Lytechinus pictus: one gene and its partner. The protein of the gene in region 2 purifies or fractionates together with the protein of the main gene of each other region. This does not show direct contact. Links are inferred from orthologs where the notes say so. Each region holds a gene or a part of one and is shown on either strand. Other genes may lie near its edges.

The links.
Region 1: the proteins of chromodomain-helicase-DNA-binding protein Mi-2 homolog (region 2) and metastasis-associated protein MTA3-like fractionate together in Drosophila melanogaster (co-fractionation; 3 studies listed by BioGRID, with this or other methods). This does not show direct contact. The link is inferred for Lytechinus pictus from reciprocal best matches to the Drosophila melanogaster genes Mi-2 and MTA1-like.

Annotation. Positions count from the first base shown.
Region 1 is NC_087251.1:31,515,042-31,525,103, reverse strand, and holds the start of metastasis-associated protein MTA3-like, read right to left. Parts: upstream 4,792-10,062; 5' UTR 4,654-4,791; coding exon 4,626-4,653; intron 3,340-4,625; coding exon 3,272-3,339; intron 2,596-3,271; coding exon 2,502-2,595; intron 2,205-2,501; coding exon 2,017-2,204; intron 1,455-2,016; coding exon 1,337-1,454; intron 826-1,336; coding exon 723-825; intron 206-722; coding exon 106-205; intron 1-105.
Region 2 is NC_087258.1:16,771,762-16,782,294, forward strand, and holds the start of chromodomain-helicase-DNA-binding protein Mi-2 homolog, read right to left. Parts: upstream 3,879-10,533; 5' UTR 3,699-3,878; coding exon 3,590-3,698; intron 2,622-3,589; coding exon 2,527-2,621; intron 324-2,526; coding exon 249-323; intron 1-248. UniProt on the Drosophila melanogaster protein: ATP-dependent chromatin-remodeling factor which acts in nucleosome-remodeling by catalyzing ATP-dependent nucleosome mobilization. Involved in regulating transcription. Plays a vital role in development.

The DNA of each region.
Region 1 (10,062 bases), on a different chromosome or scaffold from region 2:
CTGACTGATAATAAATCGTGGATGAAGATTCAGATACATGACATCTTCATTAACGAGTGCTGTAATGTTAGATGAGCTTCAAAGAAAAGTTTGAATCAAACTTACTAATGTTATATCTCTTGATGCCGCAGCAGCACTCATATGAAGACTTGGTTGACGGATTGAACTACTGCAGTCAAGTGCACGACCAAAGGTTCCAACAGACCTGTATTGAATTATTCCAAATCATGTCTTCATACTATCAATGGTTATTACAGAGAACATTCCTGTACATGAAGCAAAGATATTATAATTATTCCATATCATAACTTCATGATACCTTTCTTTAGCGCAGAGAACATTTGTGTGCATGAAGCCAAGCTATCCTGAGACCTATAACTATATATTAATTGATAACTATTCTGAGGTATTTTTCCTAACCTCTCTGTTCACTTGACCACATAATTACTTAAACATAAAAAAAAAAATCTCCTTTTTATGTCTTGCAAAACACAAAGGTTGTATTTTCAGACATATTTTCTCTCTCTTTCTTTATGTGGAGAGAGAAAGATGATACAACAAAAATGTCTGAATAATTCTATTGCCATATTCCCTTATCTTATTGCCACAATTAAGCACTATGACGTATGTTAATTAATTGCAACAGCACTATAAGAATGCTAATATTGTATTACATTGCATTGTAATTATTTTTAATCATCTTAAATGGAAATCAGACCCACCTTGCTAGAACCAGGAACTGATCGATGCTTCTATCATTCATGCAGTGTTCCGGGTTCCACGTCAGAGCCTCAAGACTAGAAAGGTCACGACCATCCGATTCACCTGGTGGGGGCAAAGAGATTGTGAAGGTGGGGGCATAGACAGTACCAACATTGTGTACATATGAGAGTATATGGAGACAGACAGGGAGTACAAATTCTCATGGCATCACATAGCAATTTAGATTCAATATCCATTCAATAAACCAATGCGAACACATACTCCTGTGCGGGCTGCTGACTGTCCTTAGTTGAGAAAACAATGTATGCAATTTGTGTTTGAGTACTAAAATGATGAACTGAACAACTCTAAATGCACAAATATGATAAGTTTCTGCAAAAAATCACAAAGTTTTGGAGATGTTTAAGAGAGCTTAATTGATTATACTAATGTAGCAACGATTTGTAATGTTCATGATGATGATGCATATACAGCAAGAATAAATTCAATCAATCAATCATAACACTTGAGAAATAATAGTACTGAAAATATTGCCATATAAAAGTGACCTATAATGTTACCATTACAGTGAGTAAAATAATAATGAGTTTGAATATAGAGTTGCAGACTGTACCTTCTGTGAGGAGTGGAGTGACATCAGCTTGATAGCGAGAACCAACTCTTATCTCTCCTTTATCTGCAAGCAAAGTCTTCTGTTGTGGGTCATACACCAAGGAATAGAAGAATGCATCCTACAAAGGCACAAACAAGGATAAAGGTGGAAATTGATAAGATTGTAAGTTGGGGAAACAAGTAAAATCTTGAAAATATGATTTACAAGAGCAATGAAAGGGTAGATAGATCTTTAGAATATGTTAATCAACAGATATTGCAAAATACTTGTGGCTCATGTATGTGTCAGCTTTACTGTCAAGTTCTTCATAACCTATCCCTAACCTACAAATAACATTCTACACCATTCTGCACTGCAAAGCAAACAGAAATGTATATGTCAATAGCTCAATATAAACAGAAACAGTGTTATCAATGGCTAACTATATACCAGATATATGTATCACACTTTACAACTAAATGGGATTATATGCTCCAAAATTAGTCTTGTATTTTAATAGACCTGGATCCTGTTGTATGAAAGTTACTTTTATGGTAACTTTGCCATCCAATGGTAACTTACCATGGTTACAGTCTTCAACAGCCAATCAGAATCAAGGATTTCAGGGAAGTTACCATTAGATGGCAAAGCTACTGAATAGTAATTTGTTATGCATCTATAGGCCCCTATTTAGAACTTACATCTTTTGACAAGTACGAGAGGAGACTCTCTGTCTCATTGAGCAGGGTGACTGTACATTTTCCTCTGATGTGTGTAGCTGGAAGCGTTTCTAACTGACGGGATAAGAACAGTTCACGATGTTTCAACTGATGACGTTGCTTCTCATTTAACTCTTCCAAAGCCTCCTCTTGTTCTTCCTCCAAAGCCACTGTAACAAAAAAAAAAAAAATGAATGGGGAAAATTATAAACACTGTCTAAAAATAAAGATATGAAACCATCAAGCTACATGTATACAAAACGATATACCGGTATGTGGTTAAATACTTGTGAATTGTTTTACTCACATATATACTGTTAGCAGAATGTTCAGAAAAATCAATAATTTTTATCATTAAAAAAATGTCTTCTTTTTTTTAATAATGAAGAAAAAATTATCTGTGCTTACAAAATGAAAATATACATAAATTTTATTATTCATATTGTATAGTTTATTCTCAAACTTACTTGCATGTTTATCAGCAAGCTGGATGAGTGAGTTGGGAATGTCTCTACGGCGGTAGAAACATACCACTTTGGCCTCCACATTGCCGCTGGCAGTCTGAAATAATGAAATATCAAAAACAGCACCATTAATTTTTTTTTCATAAAAATATTGTTGCAAATCACATATTTCTGAAGACATACATGGAAATTAACTGATCAATGTTCCAAATTCAAATAGGAAATAAAATTACAACATTCATATACATGTATGTGAAAATTTCAATTGCAATATACTGTGCCTAAAAAAACCTACAATTTAAGATAAGGCCTACTTACAGGGTGTATATCTTACATAAGATTGCTTATTTGTATCTCAATAACTTGCAAAATACTGAGAAAACTCATTAATTTTTATAATCGGAGAGTTCAATTTTATGCTTCTTTAGCTTCAAGTAGTGCAAATCAAAAAGCTACAGCAAGTGTCCAGTAAAGCTTAGAAATGATTTACACAATACTGCCACCATGCAGTAGCGTAATATACAGTATTTACATCCATATTTTGCACTGCTACATGCCACACTCATTTTCAAATTTATGTTGTTTCACACTTTCTCATTTCAAGATACAATCAGTTTACAATATAATTACTAAGGAAAAGACATTTTCAATGGTATGCATGTATATCCAAGTGCTCATGTACATTAGCTTTAAATGTATAATTCACTATTCACAGTGGTACAAGCAGAAAAAAAAAAAATATATATATATATATGTTTAAGAAAACAACATACTTTGTTGAGTTCTTCAATCCTGCGAATAAGATATGGCTGTGATGATGAAGTCTCAAAGTAGACATAATCTGTAATACACAAAATAAATGACATTATTTATTTCAATAAGAGCGATAATAATTCTAGCTAAACAACAATTCAATTTTAATTTTCAAACTTATTTCCAAGTATCGCTTACAGTGTTTGCAATAATTAGCTTATATGACATCATGCTGATTTGCATGATCCCACTGAAAGAAATCAACTGCTGGACCCACCTACCCCCCCCCCCCCCCCCCCCCACATAAAAAATAAAATAAATAACTTGTCCAAAGATAAATATATATGGGAGGGGAATCCACCATTGGAAATAAAATATTGTGTGAAACTGAAAATGAGAAAAGTAAATTAAAAAAAAGGGGGGGAGTTTGAGGAATCCGAATCCTGCCAAATCAGAAAAAGTAGTTCTATTTTAGTATTTACTGTTTCAATACAAGATCACCATGTCTAAGACTTTGTCTCAAAATAGTGCAAAGATCTAACGTTGCGCATGCATTTAGTCTACCTAAACAATTTGTGGACTTCAGTTACATGAAAATAATTTACCCTTTGGAGCTTGGGGTGATAATCAGGCCTATATAGCGAAAATAAGCAAAAGTTTTACCTCTAGACCTAGTCCTATTTACAAAAAATTCAGTGTTGATTTTTTTTTATTCATTCAACCATTAAATTCTAAATGTTACCAAAACTTCGTAAGCGTAAGTTTAAAACAGAAACAAAACATGAAACACATGTACATGTAGAAAAGTCTGTCCAAGAAAAGAAAAGGCCTTATTTTTAGATCAAGTGAATAATGAATGAATTTGAGAAAGTAAAAACTGAAACTTTGTGAAAGTGAAAAAATTAAATGTGAAAATGAAAGACCATCCTGAAAAAAAAATACAGAGGAGAAAATAAAGATTAATCAGCTGCACATACTTTGAAATGATAAAAGAAAGGCAATGAAGAAAACTAGAATTCTCTACGAGCCCCGGTTTAAAAGTTAATAAGTTTAAAGGTTTAACGGATTAAGCGGCCCACGCTCCGCAGCTCGACACCTACAATTTGCTGCAAAATTGCACAAAATTACCAGGGGTTCACAAAATTTGGTTTCTATATGAATTTGACGAATTATATTGACATATTTTCAATAAAAGATCCATCATCATCGGCGTCCTCATGTCATGAAACGACGCGTCTTTTCCTTTCTTTGTGTTCGGCCCGCTGCTAGTTAACTAAAACAAAATGGTGTCCGAATGGGCAAGACTAGCTCGTCGCGGTGTGAAAAAGAGTCGCTGCATGCCAAAAATACACATTTCTGCTCCCTTATACTCACCACCAACTCTATACATGTTAGCCGCCATTCTGGAAAGTAGTTGGAGTTTATATTTTTAAGACGAAATGGTGAAAATATAGATCTTTTTCGAGCGGAAGCCGCAGACGCTCACCCCCACGTCTGATTTTCCGTCTCGCCAACTCGCGCAGGTTAACTAACTAGTAGTTATATACGTGGTTTAACGCTAGATGGCGCTCGACCACTTCGCTGCCGATAGCCATGCGAACACTGAACTATTACGAATCGTACTTGATATAGGTAAGTGCATGCGAATAAACTCTTCCTGAGAGTTTTCTAATTAAAGGACAAGTCCACCCCAACAAAAACTTGATTCGAATAAAAAGAGAAAAATTCAACAAGCATAACACTGAAAATTTCATCAAAATCGGGTGTAAAATAAGAAAGTTATGACATTTTAAAATTTCGCTTCATTTGACAAAAGAGTTATATGCACATCCCGGTCGGTATGCAAATGAGGGAACTGATGACATCACTCACTCACTATTTCTTTTGTATTTTATTATATGAATTATGAAATATTTTGATTTTCTCGTCATTGTCATGTGAAATGAAGTTTCATTCCTCCCTGAATACGTGGAATTCCATTATTTTAACATTTTGTGGTTCAGGCAATAAGGAGGTCCTAATCGTCAAATTCGTAAAAATTGAAATATTGTATAAATCAAACAATAAAAAACAAAAGAAATAGTGAGTGAGTGACATCATCGACTCTCTAATTTGGATGTAACTGGCTCGTTCATATAACTATTTTGTTAAAAATAAGCGAAACTTTGAAATGTCATAACTTTCTTATTTTACATCCGATTTTGATGAAATTTTCAGCATTGTGCTTGTCTGATTTTTCTCTATTGATTCAAATCAACATTTTGTTGGGGTGGACTTGACCTTTAATATGGAGCTTTTGTCTCAATTAAAGGCCTACCGGGAACAGATGTATGTATTGCAATTTTAGATTTAATATTCAAGAATTTTTAAGATCTTCATTTTCAAAATAAATATATTCTATATAATATTATATAAAATATATTCTATATGGTAGGCCAATATATAAAATGTAGGCCTATTAATACCATATGTATAAATTGAATTGATTTTTTTTCATATGCTCTTAAATATCAATAGACCTATTTATTACATTTATATTTGCATATACATGTAGCCTACATTATTGGAGGGGAAGTACTCTGCCAAAAAGTTTTAAAGTAGCAGATAAATTTATTGAAAAAAAATATTGGTGAATTTATTGTGGAAAATCCATCAAAGATTATACAAATTGTTAGAATGATTTGTTATTTTTAGTTTAGTATATGCAAGCAACTTCCTCATGTATAATTTATTTAAAAAATCAATGAAATATCATTTTCAAAAAATAGAATGGTTGTGATTGTACCTGCAATATCAACAGACAAATTATTTCACACGTGAATCACGCGAGCTGATTTTATGTATACATGTATACTCAACAAAAAAAGTAAGTCCCCATTTAATCAAAATGCTGTAACTTTAGTTTTGAACGCAATAATTTTGAGATATAATATTTCGCAGGTGGTTTACTTCACTTAGAGAGCAACTCCTGTGAAAAAAAAAATTAGATTAATTGGTTGAGTCATGAGTAATTTAAGTAAATATGACAATTTTTTTTTAAGGAGCAATTTTTCGGATCGTGTAAGTACAGTTGGGGGAAATTTGTTTTTGGTGAACTTTACGGTGCTTATATGCTCTTTTACTATCTATAACCAGATGTTGTTTGAAGGTTTGCATGGTGGTATGTACAATCGCTGATGTGGTTTACGGTACACCATGTGAAGTGTTGTAGAAACAGTGGATAGGAGAAGAGAAGAAATGGATAGGCGAGAAAGTGGAGATTTGAGTCTCTCTACTGCTCATCATCTCTACTCGCCGACTCAAGCCAGCATCTCCTCACTAGCTCTACTACTCAAGCTGTTCTCAACTCATCAATCTTTCCTGGTTTACAGTCCTTTTCAGGACTACTTTCAAGAAAGAATACTCTACTCTCAAATCTCCACTTTCTCGCCTATCCATTTCTTCTCTTCTCCTATCCACTGTTTCTACAACACTTCACATGGTGTACCGTAAACCACATCAGCGATTATCCATAACCAATCCACACAAAATGTTGGTAACGTATATTCATGGTTTTCATGGTTGAGTGAACATAATATTTTTGTGACTTATTATCATAAAGGTTTATGATGGTAGTGCCTTTTATAACTTTAAAAAAAAGTTAAATGGAAAATGTTAGTGGCGTCCCTTCCCAATTTCTCCACTCCCTCCCCCATGTGCATTTTCAAATTCTGGATCCAGACAAATAATTTGTCCCTAAATTCAACTGATCTTGAGAAACTGTCAGAAAAGAATGCATTTATGTAGTAGTAAGAGCCCGGGAGTAAGAGTAATCATTCCCAAGTTTTTCAGTGTGCTCGCTCACCAATGTATTTGTATATTATATATATATATTGAACTTTGTATTTTGCATTAATTTGTCTTATTCATTGAAAGAAACCTTTAATAACAAGCTTTGCTTTTCAGAAGGTTTCTATTTCATTTCATAATGTTATATTATATTTTTCTTTACTTTGTAACCTTGTTAAAATTTTGGAATGAAATAAATTCGTTATCAATCAATCAATCAATCATGAAAGTGTAAAAAGTTCGGAGATATAGTGTGTGGTGATAATGGATGATTAAAAGCAACAGCAATTATAAGTCACAGTTGAAACAGAATTTGCCCCCATAGCAGGGGCCGCGGAACGGTTTCCGGGCTGAGCCAAATTGGGGGGGGGGGGCTGACCATGCAAAAAATCACAATCATATGGTAATTTTTACGTTTTTGTACACGGTTTTGGAAAAAAATGGAGGGCCCCCCAGCCGCCCCCCCCCGCTTCCGCGCCCCCTGCATAGGAAGTTTACATGGGGAAGTGCAGCCAAAATTTATCTCGATAGACTGTTTAAATTACAAAAACGTGCAATAAAAATAGTTAATCATTCATCTTTTTTAGCCCATACTTCACCCATATTTTATAATCTAAAACTTTTAAACATTTATGACATATATCAATACCAGCTTGGAATCTTTATGTTTTTATGTTATCGGAAACTTTTACCCACTTCTCTATTAGAATATTTTAACTTGAATTGCAATATACATTCTTATCCTATGAGAAATGCAAATAATTTTCATCTTCCTAAAATAAGAACGTCACTGTCACACCAATCAATCATTTATCAAGGTCCTGTAGTTTGGAATTCACTAACAGATGAAATACGTAATGCAAAAACACTTAATGTATTCAAAACAAAGTTCAAAAGATACCTTCTTGAGAAATACAGTGGCTGAATGATGTATGAATTATGTATTTCACTTGTATTATTATAATTATTGTAATATTATGTTAGGGCATGGCACTTTTTGATGTCTTGGTTCATTGTTTATGTGCATTTTTAAGTTATTTTGTTTGTTTTTAGAAATGTTTTTGCTGTATCCCTGTTATTGCATTTTCTATGTCACCTTTTCGTTTTAATAATGGGTCGGCCTAATTATAAGGATTTTTTCCTTTTAGGCTGCTACCCCTCAATATGATTCTGAACCATAATGCAATTTTTTGACCGTCTTTCGATTTGTAATATACATGTATTTTAACTTTGTATTATATTTGTTTTTTATGTAAGGTTTTACTGAGAGAATAAAACAATTTGAATTTGAATTACAACGCTTCAAAATGAGTCTGTGACTTATTGTCATTTTTGTCCTTTTGATGGGTGCTCACTCATCCATAAATAAACAAATCAATTTCATCTTGCTCAAAATTGTGCCCATATTCGTGATATGCTCTTTCGAATCACAAGCCAAAATTTTTGATAAACTGTCATGAAAAGGGGATTTTATAAATAGTTTGTTATATAATTTATACGATATACATTACTCACCAATCAAAATGCGAGCGCGAGCAGTGCTAGCTGATAGGTTTTGGAATACACAAAGATAAAGGTACTTGCAGTGGCGTAACTACGAGGGAAGGGCACGCGCCCCCCCCCCCCCCAATCGGCTGGCAAAAAAGAAACGGAAGAAAAGGAGAAAAAGAGGGAAGAGGAAAAAGAAATGTAGTGGGAGGAGAAGAAATTATATTGTATTATATTATTTTATATATATTATACTATATTACAAAATATTACATAAGATTTTTTGTCATAACTTTAATAATGAAACATTATTGCTAAGGGTCTTCCCTGCATGGTGTTCGCATTGTCTGTTCAATCAATCCTGTTGTATTACAAAACATCCTGTTTTCACGTCAATGTACGCCAAACATAATATCCTTGCACTTCGAGTTATTATTGATTTTTATCGTGACATGTTTTTTTTCATGACCATACTAAAAGTGATTGCCCCTTTTAAGGTCCGAATATATAAAACATTTCAAGTCCGCTTACGTACACATTAGTGGATTGGTGAGATATGTGTGCTCTTTATGAATTCCTAAAAATAGTCCTTAAATGCCCCTATTTCTGGTCTGAATATCAAAAATGTTTAGCTCGCGCTTCGCGCTCGCACCATTTGGTTAATGCCACGTATATGGTCTTAATATGATTCTTAAAATCAAGCCTTAGACTGCCCCTCTTCATGTCTGAATTTCAAAAAATTTCAGCTCGCGCTTCGCGCTCGCTCCATTTTGTTAATGAAATACGTATATGGTCTTAATGATTCTTAAATTCAAGCCTTAGACTGCCCCTCTTCATATCTGAATTTCAAATATTTTCAGCTCGCGCTTCACGCTTGCAATATTTGAGATGCATACCATGTTCATGATTACATGACTACAATGAGTGCTTCATGTGTTTCTGACAAAATCAGCACTATATGGTGAGATTATGAGATATGTATGCTCTTCATGAATTCCTAAAAGAAATAGTCCTTAAAATAACCCTGTTTGGGGTCAATATATAGAAATGTTACAGATCGCGCTCGCATTGTTTGTATAATAAGACAGGATATGTATCATAATCACAAAAATTTGCTTACTCCTTTTTTAGGTCTTAATATCTATATTAAAAAATCAACTCGCGCTACGCGCTCGCATTATGAGATACATATATCCGTTTAATGGCACAGACCTTAAAATGTCTCTAGGTCACAACCGGGCAACTAGCGCACTTCGCACGACCAATAAGTGACTCAAAATTTTTGCTGGTGCCCCCCCCCCAATGCTGTGACCCACGGTACACCACTGGGTACTTGACAATTCTTAAAATGAAAATGTTGATACTCGGACAATAAAACAGACATTTTACAGATTACTTTTTAAAAATCAATTTGTAAATCAAACAAAATAATGAAAGCTCGCTGTCCGAGCTGAATGTTTTGTATATTGACTTCAAAACTTGATTTGAGCTCCAT
Region 2 (10,533 bases):
ACCTGAAATCAAAGTGAAAAATAAGGAACAATTTACACTGTAATATGTGCTGGAATGGAAGCATCTACTTGGAATCATTCTGCTTGGTGGAATTATTTTAGTTCACAACCCAACCCCTGCTTAACATGCCCCTACACACTTTTTCAATCAATCATCACATGCAACCTAAGTGCACTGATGTATCTAAGGGAAATAATGCCACAAGAATTTTGAAATTGAATGTCAATTTTCAGAGATGCGACTCCAACCTTGAATTCTTTCTTCTTTTTGCTCTTAGTTTTGGCCTCTCCTTCAGAATCATCACTGCCATGGTGGTCACTCACCTACATGCAAAAACAAGCCAAAACCACAAGCAAGAAAGATATTAATCCAAACCAAAAATGATGAAAATGTAACATAGACAGTATTCAATGGGGTCATGAAGTGATCACAAAGCATGTACACTGTGCAGTCAAACTAAATATTATTATTTTTTAAATACACGGAGCCTAGGGACGAATCCCCCCCCCCCAAAAAAAAAAAATGCTCAAAATAGCACTGAAAACTTGAATATGGATCCATGGAAAATCCCCAATCATTGCAGTGTTAAAGCTTATTGAATGTTGCACATTCATGCAGTATATGTGAAAAGAAGCCACAGGAAGAAGAAACAAAATTTGCCTGTCTTTAAGTGACATTTTCACCTTAAAATCAATTGCATGTGCATGTACTTGTCTATCTCAAACATCTAACATTAAAGGGTCTTTAAAGATTGAGTTTTAAACCTACATAAGGACTGCAAAACTTACTGGCAGCAAACCACAAATCGTTGTGTTGGTGCAAGAACACTCTTAACTCCACACTTTTACACATTGCATGCAAGCAAAAACGCCCTTAGCAGCACGTACATGTATAAGAGCATTGCGTAAGGATGTTCTTGCACTGACACAGCGAAATGTCTGTGTACATGTACAGTACCAGTCACAATTCTTTGAATCACTATTCCCTGTTTCAACCAGAGAACAATAGATTTGGTCCACTGATTCTATTGTTCTCTGGCCGAAACAGGTAACAGTGAGTCAAAGAATTGTGTACTTGATAGACTACATGACAAAACTGCTGCCATGACAAATAAAAACATTCAAAGCATACATTCAATGGATTTGAGTGCAGAGTGCAGATTAAAAACACTATCATCTTGTAAATGAGAATCCTGTGAGGACTCATGCGTTTTGTTAACACTTTCATCATGAAACTGCTTAAGAACAAATATAAATGGACCTTAATTTTTTTTAAAGATACGGTGGACTGTACATACATGTAGAAGGAACTGCCTAAAAAGAATTGTGAAATAATGGCAAATAAATGTGCACTTAAGAATTAATAGTTTTCATGTATTATATGATCATGATTCATTGTAAGATTTTGGTGATTAGGAATTGATACTATTTTGCTGCACATGACTAACATACAGAAAAGAGAAGATTTATGATTAAGGAACTACATGTACTGTACATGTATAAACATGTAGCTTGGACAATTCTGCTACATTTTTCCTTCATACATGTATCTATAGTACATGTATTAGAATACTTGAAGAGCAATAATTGACAGCACTTTTATACATAAAAATTTACTTCCCTCTTTACAAAGCTCAAATTATTTTATTTTTTTAGTTCAATTCCACAAAAAGCAATTTTAATAGAAAAATAAATCAAATATACATGTCATTGTAAAATATTGAGATAACTTGGATATTTTTTTTTTAATTCTTAAATTGAATCAAACATTTATTTCAGAGCATATCTGGAAGGTACATGTGCGGCCACATGCATATTGTATTCTATTAAATATGTAATTGTTGAGAAATTGGTTTGATACAAGAAAAGAAATATTAAAAAATACTACCGGTACTAAAAATTAACATCTTGACACTTTTATTGTAGATTAAAGTTTTAAGTAAACTATCAGTTTTTTATTTTGGATCGATCTCAAAAAATCATCTCTGTGATTTATGGTATTGTTTCATTCTAGATGATTTTTTTTAAGGGAGTAATCTTAAGATTCACCAAAACTTAAATACTTTAATCTAATGTACATGTATGCAACTATGATTTACCGATGACTGAAACTCTGCAAGTGCGATGAATTTAAAACAATAACTACTATATACAGGGCCCTCACAATAAGGTCTTCAAGCAGACATGATGTAGGCCTACCAATCCTTTCAAATTCTTCAGTAAAATGACAATGTGCAAATTAGTGAACAATCTATAAGTGAATGGTAACAGAAACAAATTAAATACAAACTTAATTATAAATGTATGCAAAATTATGTCTTTTTTCATACATGTATGAAGCCTTCAACTCAAGAAAATTTAATTTCTAATAATGAATTAGATATTCCACATCTACAACTTGTACATATTTATTCAAACTAATACAAAAGTGATCAACAGCATGTATTAGTCACCAACAATAAAGATGAAATGCATGCAATAAATTAAAAACAGGGCCCGCTTTGACTGAAACGCATGAACAAATTACCTCACTATCTCTCTTGCGTTTTTTAGATTTTCCATCCTTTCTTTTGTCCTTCTTATTCTTTTTACTTTTTTTCTTCTTTGGTGGGGTATCCCCATCTGTAAGAAAAAAAAAATTTACAAAAAAATGTTGACAAAATGTGCATCACTACAATTGAAATTAAACACTAAAATATTTTCAAGTTTAGCGGACTGGAAATTGCCATTTTAACCGAATGCCATGTACCGGTAGATATTCTGAAGTTAGAAATTTATTTAGAATCATAAACAACTTGATGAACATGTACTGTGTAGGATAACCCAATAATAACTTGCTACAAAGAATGAAATATATAATATATGAACAAATTTTCAGTCAAAATATTGCTTTCCTAAAATATTCTTTTTCAGTCAGACATTGTATTTTGCATTGGCAAGCGCAAGCAGCTAGCCGCAACTAATTCACTCACACAGCTGTTTTCATACATGTGTACAACACAGCAAGCAACACACGCTAAAAGCTATTCACGTGTAAGCTACACGCTACTACACACACACACACATGCTTTGTCAAGCACGGGCAGCGCAGACAAACCACACAGGCTCATTCATTCACCGTGCGAAAATGAACAGATTGATAATTATCTTCATAACTAATCCGCTTGCGGCTCTTCGCAAAAAGCTCTAATTTTCACAACTTTTTCAGTCCAAATCAAGAAAAATAATACCAGCAGAGTAAAACTAAATTGTCATAGCATAACATGGACACACATTTCTTAGGATTTGGCGCCGGGAGTTCAAAAAAGTGTTATTGGAAGATCGCCGGTGTTTTAGCGTTCGCTAGAGACGATGATCGATCACGTCGTTATTTTAGTTACGATGATCGGCGGACCTTGACCAATCTCGGATATATTGCTTAAAAATCACGATTTCGAGCTGAAAATTAACACGAGCATTCTTGGAAACCTAAAGAATTGTTAGATACACCATAAACTATGCCACAACAAAATTTGAAAGAAAACCAATCACTGTATCACACTCATAAAAATCGTCAATATCATCGATATTTTCAATAATCATTCACATACCGAACTCGGCCTGTTCGCCTCCCTCGTTGATGGCCCCACTCTCACCGGTCGTGTCTAAATCATATCCATAATCTTCCGTTTCTTCGTCCTTTTTGGCAGCTCCTGGCATTTTGGAATGATGTGAGAATATTCCGCGAACGGAATCCTCCAGCCAGAATACTCACACCCTGTCCCAAAGTGATGAAGAAAATCCGGGTTACCGAAAGGGGAGGAAGTCGGAAGATGGCGGAGACAAAACTTACCCCCTCGACAAAAGGGTAGTAAATCGTTAATTGCACATGCGCATAATGACGTCAGTGGCCCTTACTTCCATCCCATAATAATTACTTCTCCATCCCATAATAGTTACATCTTAGTTAATGGCATAGGCTAAGGATAGCTTACTACTGGGATATGTAAGATGTGTTTGGGGTGATTTTGGAGGGGACATATTTGAGTTATGATGAACTTGACAACAACATACCCTTATTCAATGAAGCATTATAAATTGACATTGTTTACAACACTCGGCTTATAATGCGTGTTTCTTTACAAAATGTACCTTATTTACATATCTGAAGCCTGCGTGGTATATATATGTTTCCGCATTAACATAATTTCATGAAAGTTCGGAGGCGCGGTCTTCCACGGCTCACATTCATATATTGACATTTTGACAGTTTTTATTTCAGCAAATCTTGTAGTGATAGTGGGAGATTTCTTTTCGAATCGAATTTAGGACATTGCAATTGAAATGTTTAAAACATTCTTACTATGTTCTTCGCCCAGTAAAGTACATCACCCTTTTGAATTTCTTCATTTCGTTCTTTGGGCCTACTCAGCAAAGGCATGAAAAATAATTTGAACTTTTTTATTTTCTTTCTTCGTTCAGCAAACTGGAACTTAGAGCTCATTTATACCCTACAGGCCATATGCATGCATTATGGAGACAGTGAAATGTTTTAAACTTGTTCATCTTGTTCTTCGCTGGGCAAAATCTTCCTCCATTTAAACTTTCCAATTTCGCTCTTTCGATCTGCAAATAGTTTCAACTTAGGAAAGTTTTAAAACTTTTTCATCCGCTTTGAACTCATACCCATGCAAAATTAAACTTTTTCGTTTTTCTTCGCTTAGGCTGAGGCTATAGGGGAGGCTCAGCTCCTTAAGACACTGATACTTTTTTGTCAGTCTCTTAACTGTACAACCAAACATCATAGTTTAAACTTTCTCATTCTGTTTGGTGTTCAGCAAAGTTGTACTCATTAGTTTAAAACTACCTTTCAACAATCAACCGTCTCATTTGAATTATAGGTTCAGATTTCTTTTATAACCTCGGTTTATCCCGAAGATACTCCTCATTCAGAACTTTGGTATGGTATATTATACATTTGCTTTGTAAGAACATGGACCTACTAGGGTCCATGGTAAGAATAATGCCAAATTCATGCAATGATCGATGTGCCATGTCAATCCGTGACAGGCTCCTTATCTATACTACCACATTTCACGGCTATAGCTGGTTCCATTTTACATGTTTTACTTAGGCAATTATGTATAAAAATCTAACATTTTTTGTAAAGCAAATTAACTCATTATCACCTCGTTGCATCGACGGGAATAATTGTTCGAGAAATGTTCCAACAATTATGTTTAAGCTTTCTTGAAACTTAAGTTCTTCGCACACCGATGCCCGATACAATAGATCCAGCTATCATCTTGATCATTTCCTACAGAAATTCTAATGTTCTTTCCTCAACTCATATATATGGATTTATGTCTATATGTCTACATAAAAATGTAAAACGTTTTCTGAATTAAATTGACTTATACATCACATTTTGTAGAATGTTGTAAAAGCCTAGCTGCTTTTACAACTTTTGCTCATTCTCCTGAAGTTTCAAATTTTTTGGTATGATTGAGGATTGTCTCATTCTCGTGAAGACGGTATATAAGAACACACTACACCTGTCGAAAAGTCGAGTTTGGGTAGTAATTTTCAAGACCAACATATATGCCCACACACTCTTCTTCTTCGCCATGCCAGGGAAACCTTCAGCAGTTACATCACCTTTTTATTGTTTCTTCCTCTTTTTTTTTTTTTTATAAATCCCCTTCATTTTTCTCCTTCCCCCTATACTACTTGAAAAGTCATATAATGCGGCGATGGCCCCTGCTCCCATTTGAGGCGCCGCCTCCCCCTAAAATTTTGAATACAGCGAAGCATTATGAGGTGGGTCGTCTTGTTTCCCGCGGCCCCTATAAAGTCACAAAAATATCAAGAAATCGTAGCGTTTGGCAATAACTGATTGGTCTAGAATAAGCCAATTTCCCCTCTCTTAAGAGAATACCACACTGGCGTACAGATGAGGGGCTTGGGGTTCTGAACCCCCCCCCCCATTTTTTTTTTTTTTTTTCAAGACCAAGAAAAAAAAAGGAAAAAGGGAAGGGTGAAGTATGATATTATTTTCTTAACATTATGGCGGCGATCCTGGGGGCGGGGGGAGGGGCTCAGTGCCCTCCACTTTTTGGAGCACTGAAAGTGCCCTTTTAAGCGAGAAAAAATGTCCCCTCACGAACGTGTTCTGTGCCCCTTTCACCTGAGAAAGACCCGTTTGTGTGTTAACGAGTACTCCCTTGCCTTTTTGTAAGTGGCCTTTCTCGAATCGGTGCCAAGAAAAGTGCCACTCATGAACGTGTTCTGTGTCCCTTTCAACTGAGAAGGACCCGTTTTATGTGTTAACGAGTGCCCCTTTGCCTTTTCATAGCCTCATTATAGGTGCCTGTTATTCAAATAAGTTGTTCTTAAAAAGCACTCTTTTCGTGCCCGATGAGCGCCAGGTTTCTCTATTTAGCTTTCTTAATGTGATTAATGCGCCAAATCCAATCTACAGAGTGCCCAAGGCGCATGGTATATGGATTCTTCTCCCTTCTGCAAACGGTGCATCCTTATTTAATCGCATAATCCCTTTCAAAATATGATTTGCCCCTTTCGCTAATTTATGTTACTACTTATATGAAGGAAAGAATTTGTAAGAGTAACCCTGTGTGCATAAAGTTTCATGAGTCATGTGAGTGGGGTATATAAGTCTTTTTTCCCCTTTGTTTTAGGAAAGTGCCCTTTTCGAAAGAAAAGTTTTAACTTTTGAATACAAAATTAATTTTGCAGTAGATTTTTACATATAGTATTCAGAAAATTATATTATCGTTTTTTTTATTCCACTTTCCCTTTCTTTATTTTTCTCCTTTTTTGTGGGGGGGGGGGGGTCCATGCACCCAAGGCCCCCCCCCCCCATCTGTATGCCAGGGACTGAAGGTGATAGCATATACCAGCCTATAATCACGACGGCCTTGTATGAGATACATTGGCCCTACACTGTATAAACACTGTTTAAAATTTTAAGCACGTTGTTTAAGTCCATCACTCTAACTATATAGTTTAAACTTTGTAAACAACTGTTGAAAAATATTTATAAACAACTGTTTAAACTTTTTAAACAACTATTTAAACTTTTTAAAGTTTAAAAAGTTTAAACAGTTGTTTAAAAAGTGTAAACAATTACAAATAAAGTTTAAACAACTTGTTGTTAGAGTGACAGGCTTAAACAATATATAAGCTTCTTTTTTTTTACTGTGTATATTAGTGAAAATATAATTCTCTCTGGTTTATTGCCACAATGCCCATAACCATGGCAACGCTGTTATTTGATTGACACTTTCGAAAAATGTAAATTTTACATGCATCTTCTCTCCAAAACAAGTGGGAATACTGCTGGACCAGCATTATGTGGGCATATATCCCTAGTTGTCATGTTCATGATTCTTTCAGATCTTACATTCTAATCTGGGGCCCGTAACACAAAGCTTAGCAATGATCGTAGAACATTTTTCTACGATTGGTTCCATTGAATATAATGTACAATCAATCATAAAAATCAAGCGTACGATTAATCGCTAACCTTTGTGTTACGGGACCCAGGCGTTTCTGTCTAGCTCCTCTATAACTTATTCCATATTGGCATCAATCTTGTAGCCCCTCACGACCATATCATCTTTTTTTTTGACCTATTCCATAATGTTTTTTTTTCACTTGCGGGCGTATGTGCCTTCTAATTATCATTCTGGTTGTTTGCTTGCAAGCATTCATGCTTTCTTAGCAATCAGGTAAAAAAAAATCACCACCACCACCAACAAATATATTATTAAAGGACAAGTCCACCCCAACAAAAAGTTGATTTGAATAAAAAGAGAAAAATCCAACAAGCATAACACTGAAAATTTCATCAAAATCGGATGATAAATAAAAAAGTTATGACATTTTAAAGTTTCGCTTAATTTCACTAGACATTTATATGCACATCATGCATGGTCGGTATGCAAATGAGGAGACTGATGACATCATCCACTCACTATTCCTTTTGTATCTTATGAAATATTGTAATTTTCTCCTCATTGTCAAGTGAAACAATGATTAATTCCTCCCTGAACACGTGGAATTAGCATTGTTTAATACTATATCGTTCTGTCAGGTTTGTCCTTATTGTCAAATCTGTAAAAAATGAAATATTGTATAATTCAAACAATAACAAAAACAAAAGAAATAGTGAGTGATGGACATCATCGACTGTCTCATTTGCATGTCACTGAGATGTGCATATCACTGTTTTATGAAATATAAGTGAAACTTTAAAATGTTATAACTTTCTTATTTTACATCCGATTTTGATGAAATTTTCAGCATTACGCTAGTTTGATTTTTCTCTGTTTATTCCAATCAACATTTTTCGGGGTGGACTTGACCTTTAATTTAATGAGTTTTAATTTGGGGTTGTAATTTTTCTTTCCAGCAATCTGCTTATAATTACAATCCTAGTCCTGCAAATTGTGAATGTTGATAGTTTAGTTGAATATTTATACTATTAAATATAAAACAATTAAACTTCGCATTAAAGTACTTTTAAACATAATTATTGTGTGTGGTCTCTCATTGTCTGTGTGTTATAAATACATAGTCTTAAAATATACATTTTCAGATATCTACTACAGAGAATAAATTGACCTATAATTGTTTTTATAGAGAGAAACTTAAATGTTTTGAAAGGAAAAGTAATTGTTTTGCAACTTGGTAACATAATTATTGCGGTATAAATGTATTGAGTAGTTAATTAGCATGTTATCATTCAAGTGGGTCTATATTACTAGACTACACTAGTATTATGGGTCAGGAAAATGGCCAGGTATGAGTAGTTGAGGACTCAAGATGGCGCTATTGGTTCGTATCTGCTTTAATGCGAAGTTTCATTGTTTTACTGTGCTTTAAAATGTTTTTTAAAAACATAATTTGTACTGCATTATTATATATTTTTTTCAACTTATATGCACTTATGTCTCCTCCATCCTAAAAATAAACTTTGCATTAAAATACTACTAAACATGTGTTTTATAATGCGAAGTTTAATTGTTTTAATGTGCTTTTTAATGTTTTTAACATAATTTGAAATGTTTTTTTTTTATACAAGTTGTCACAATTATTGGGGGGGGATGATAAAGTTTGCCCCAATATTTTCATTGGGGACAATCGCCCCTGCACCCCCCCCCCCCCGATCGACGCCTCTACCACATATCACATACACCGGGTGCCATTTTATAAAGAGTACAACAATGGTAACTTCGCCATTTCGGAAACTATACAGGTCATTTTTATAAGTGCTTTTTTGTATTTTTCATGACAATTTCTCTTCGCTCTTTCCATAATATGTATTTTTGTTCAAATTTCAATTTTACAGTAGCATTAAAAGACGAGTCCACCCCAACAAAGAGTTAATTTGAATAAAAAGAGAAATCCAACAAGAATAACACTGAAAATTGTATTATCTTATCTGTCAGTTACTTGTAAAATATGAACCTGTTCGAAATCTTAGATCACTTCATAATGATTTATATAACGTACCCGTTTTATGGCGAACGGGGGTTGCTCATGCAGCGCCGGAACTCTGGAATAGTATCCCACACAATTTAAGGCAAGTTGATACAATTGGGCAATTTAAATCTGCATTGAAAGCATATTTATTTAACTGAAAAGAATATTATCAAAGCATCACCAGCAGTCTTCCCTCTTCTTTTTCCTAAAGCGCATTGAGACCTTTGTAAGGTGTAATGCGCTATACAAAAGCTGTTCTATTAAAATTTCATCAAAATCGGATGTAAAATAAGAAAGTTATGACATTTTGAAGTTTTGCTTAATTTCACAAAACAGTTATATGCACATCCTGGTCGGGATGCAAATGAGGAGACTGATGACGTCATCCACTCACTGTTTTTCTCTGATTATAATTAATCAACATATTTCTGGGCATGTGGACTTGACCTTTAAGACTGATACATCCCTTGTAAATTTGTACCTGAAGAGCGCAATTGATTGCAAATATTTTCTTGCAGCACCCCCTGAGACTTATCAACTCCCAAGTCTTATTTTAAAACCGATTTTGAGAAAACTACTTAGAATCATACTGATCCTTTAATTTTATTCTTTCGTCTCAGATTGATTCTCTCCTTGGATTTGGGTTTCCTCTAAACCCACTTGGTCATCAACCACCCAATGCCTAGATGGTGTACTTCCCACTTTTTGTCTAATTACTATTTTGCACTTTGTCAAATATAACTTGGTTTAAGGGTTGGTCCAGGCTGGGGATATTTAAATCTCAATGGAGAACAATTCACAGAGCAAAATGCTGAAAATTTGATCAAAATCGGATACCAAATAACGAAGATATTGAATCTTAAAGGGGAATCCAACCCAAATAAAAACTTGTTTTTATAAGGAAAAGAAAAATCAGACAAGTTGATAGGTGAAAGTTTGAACAATATTGGACAAACAACAAGAAAGTTATGAATTTTTAAAAGTTGTAAATATTGGTAATCACTATACCCATGGAGACTTCAAATTGGCCGCATATGGGATGTCATAG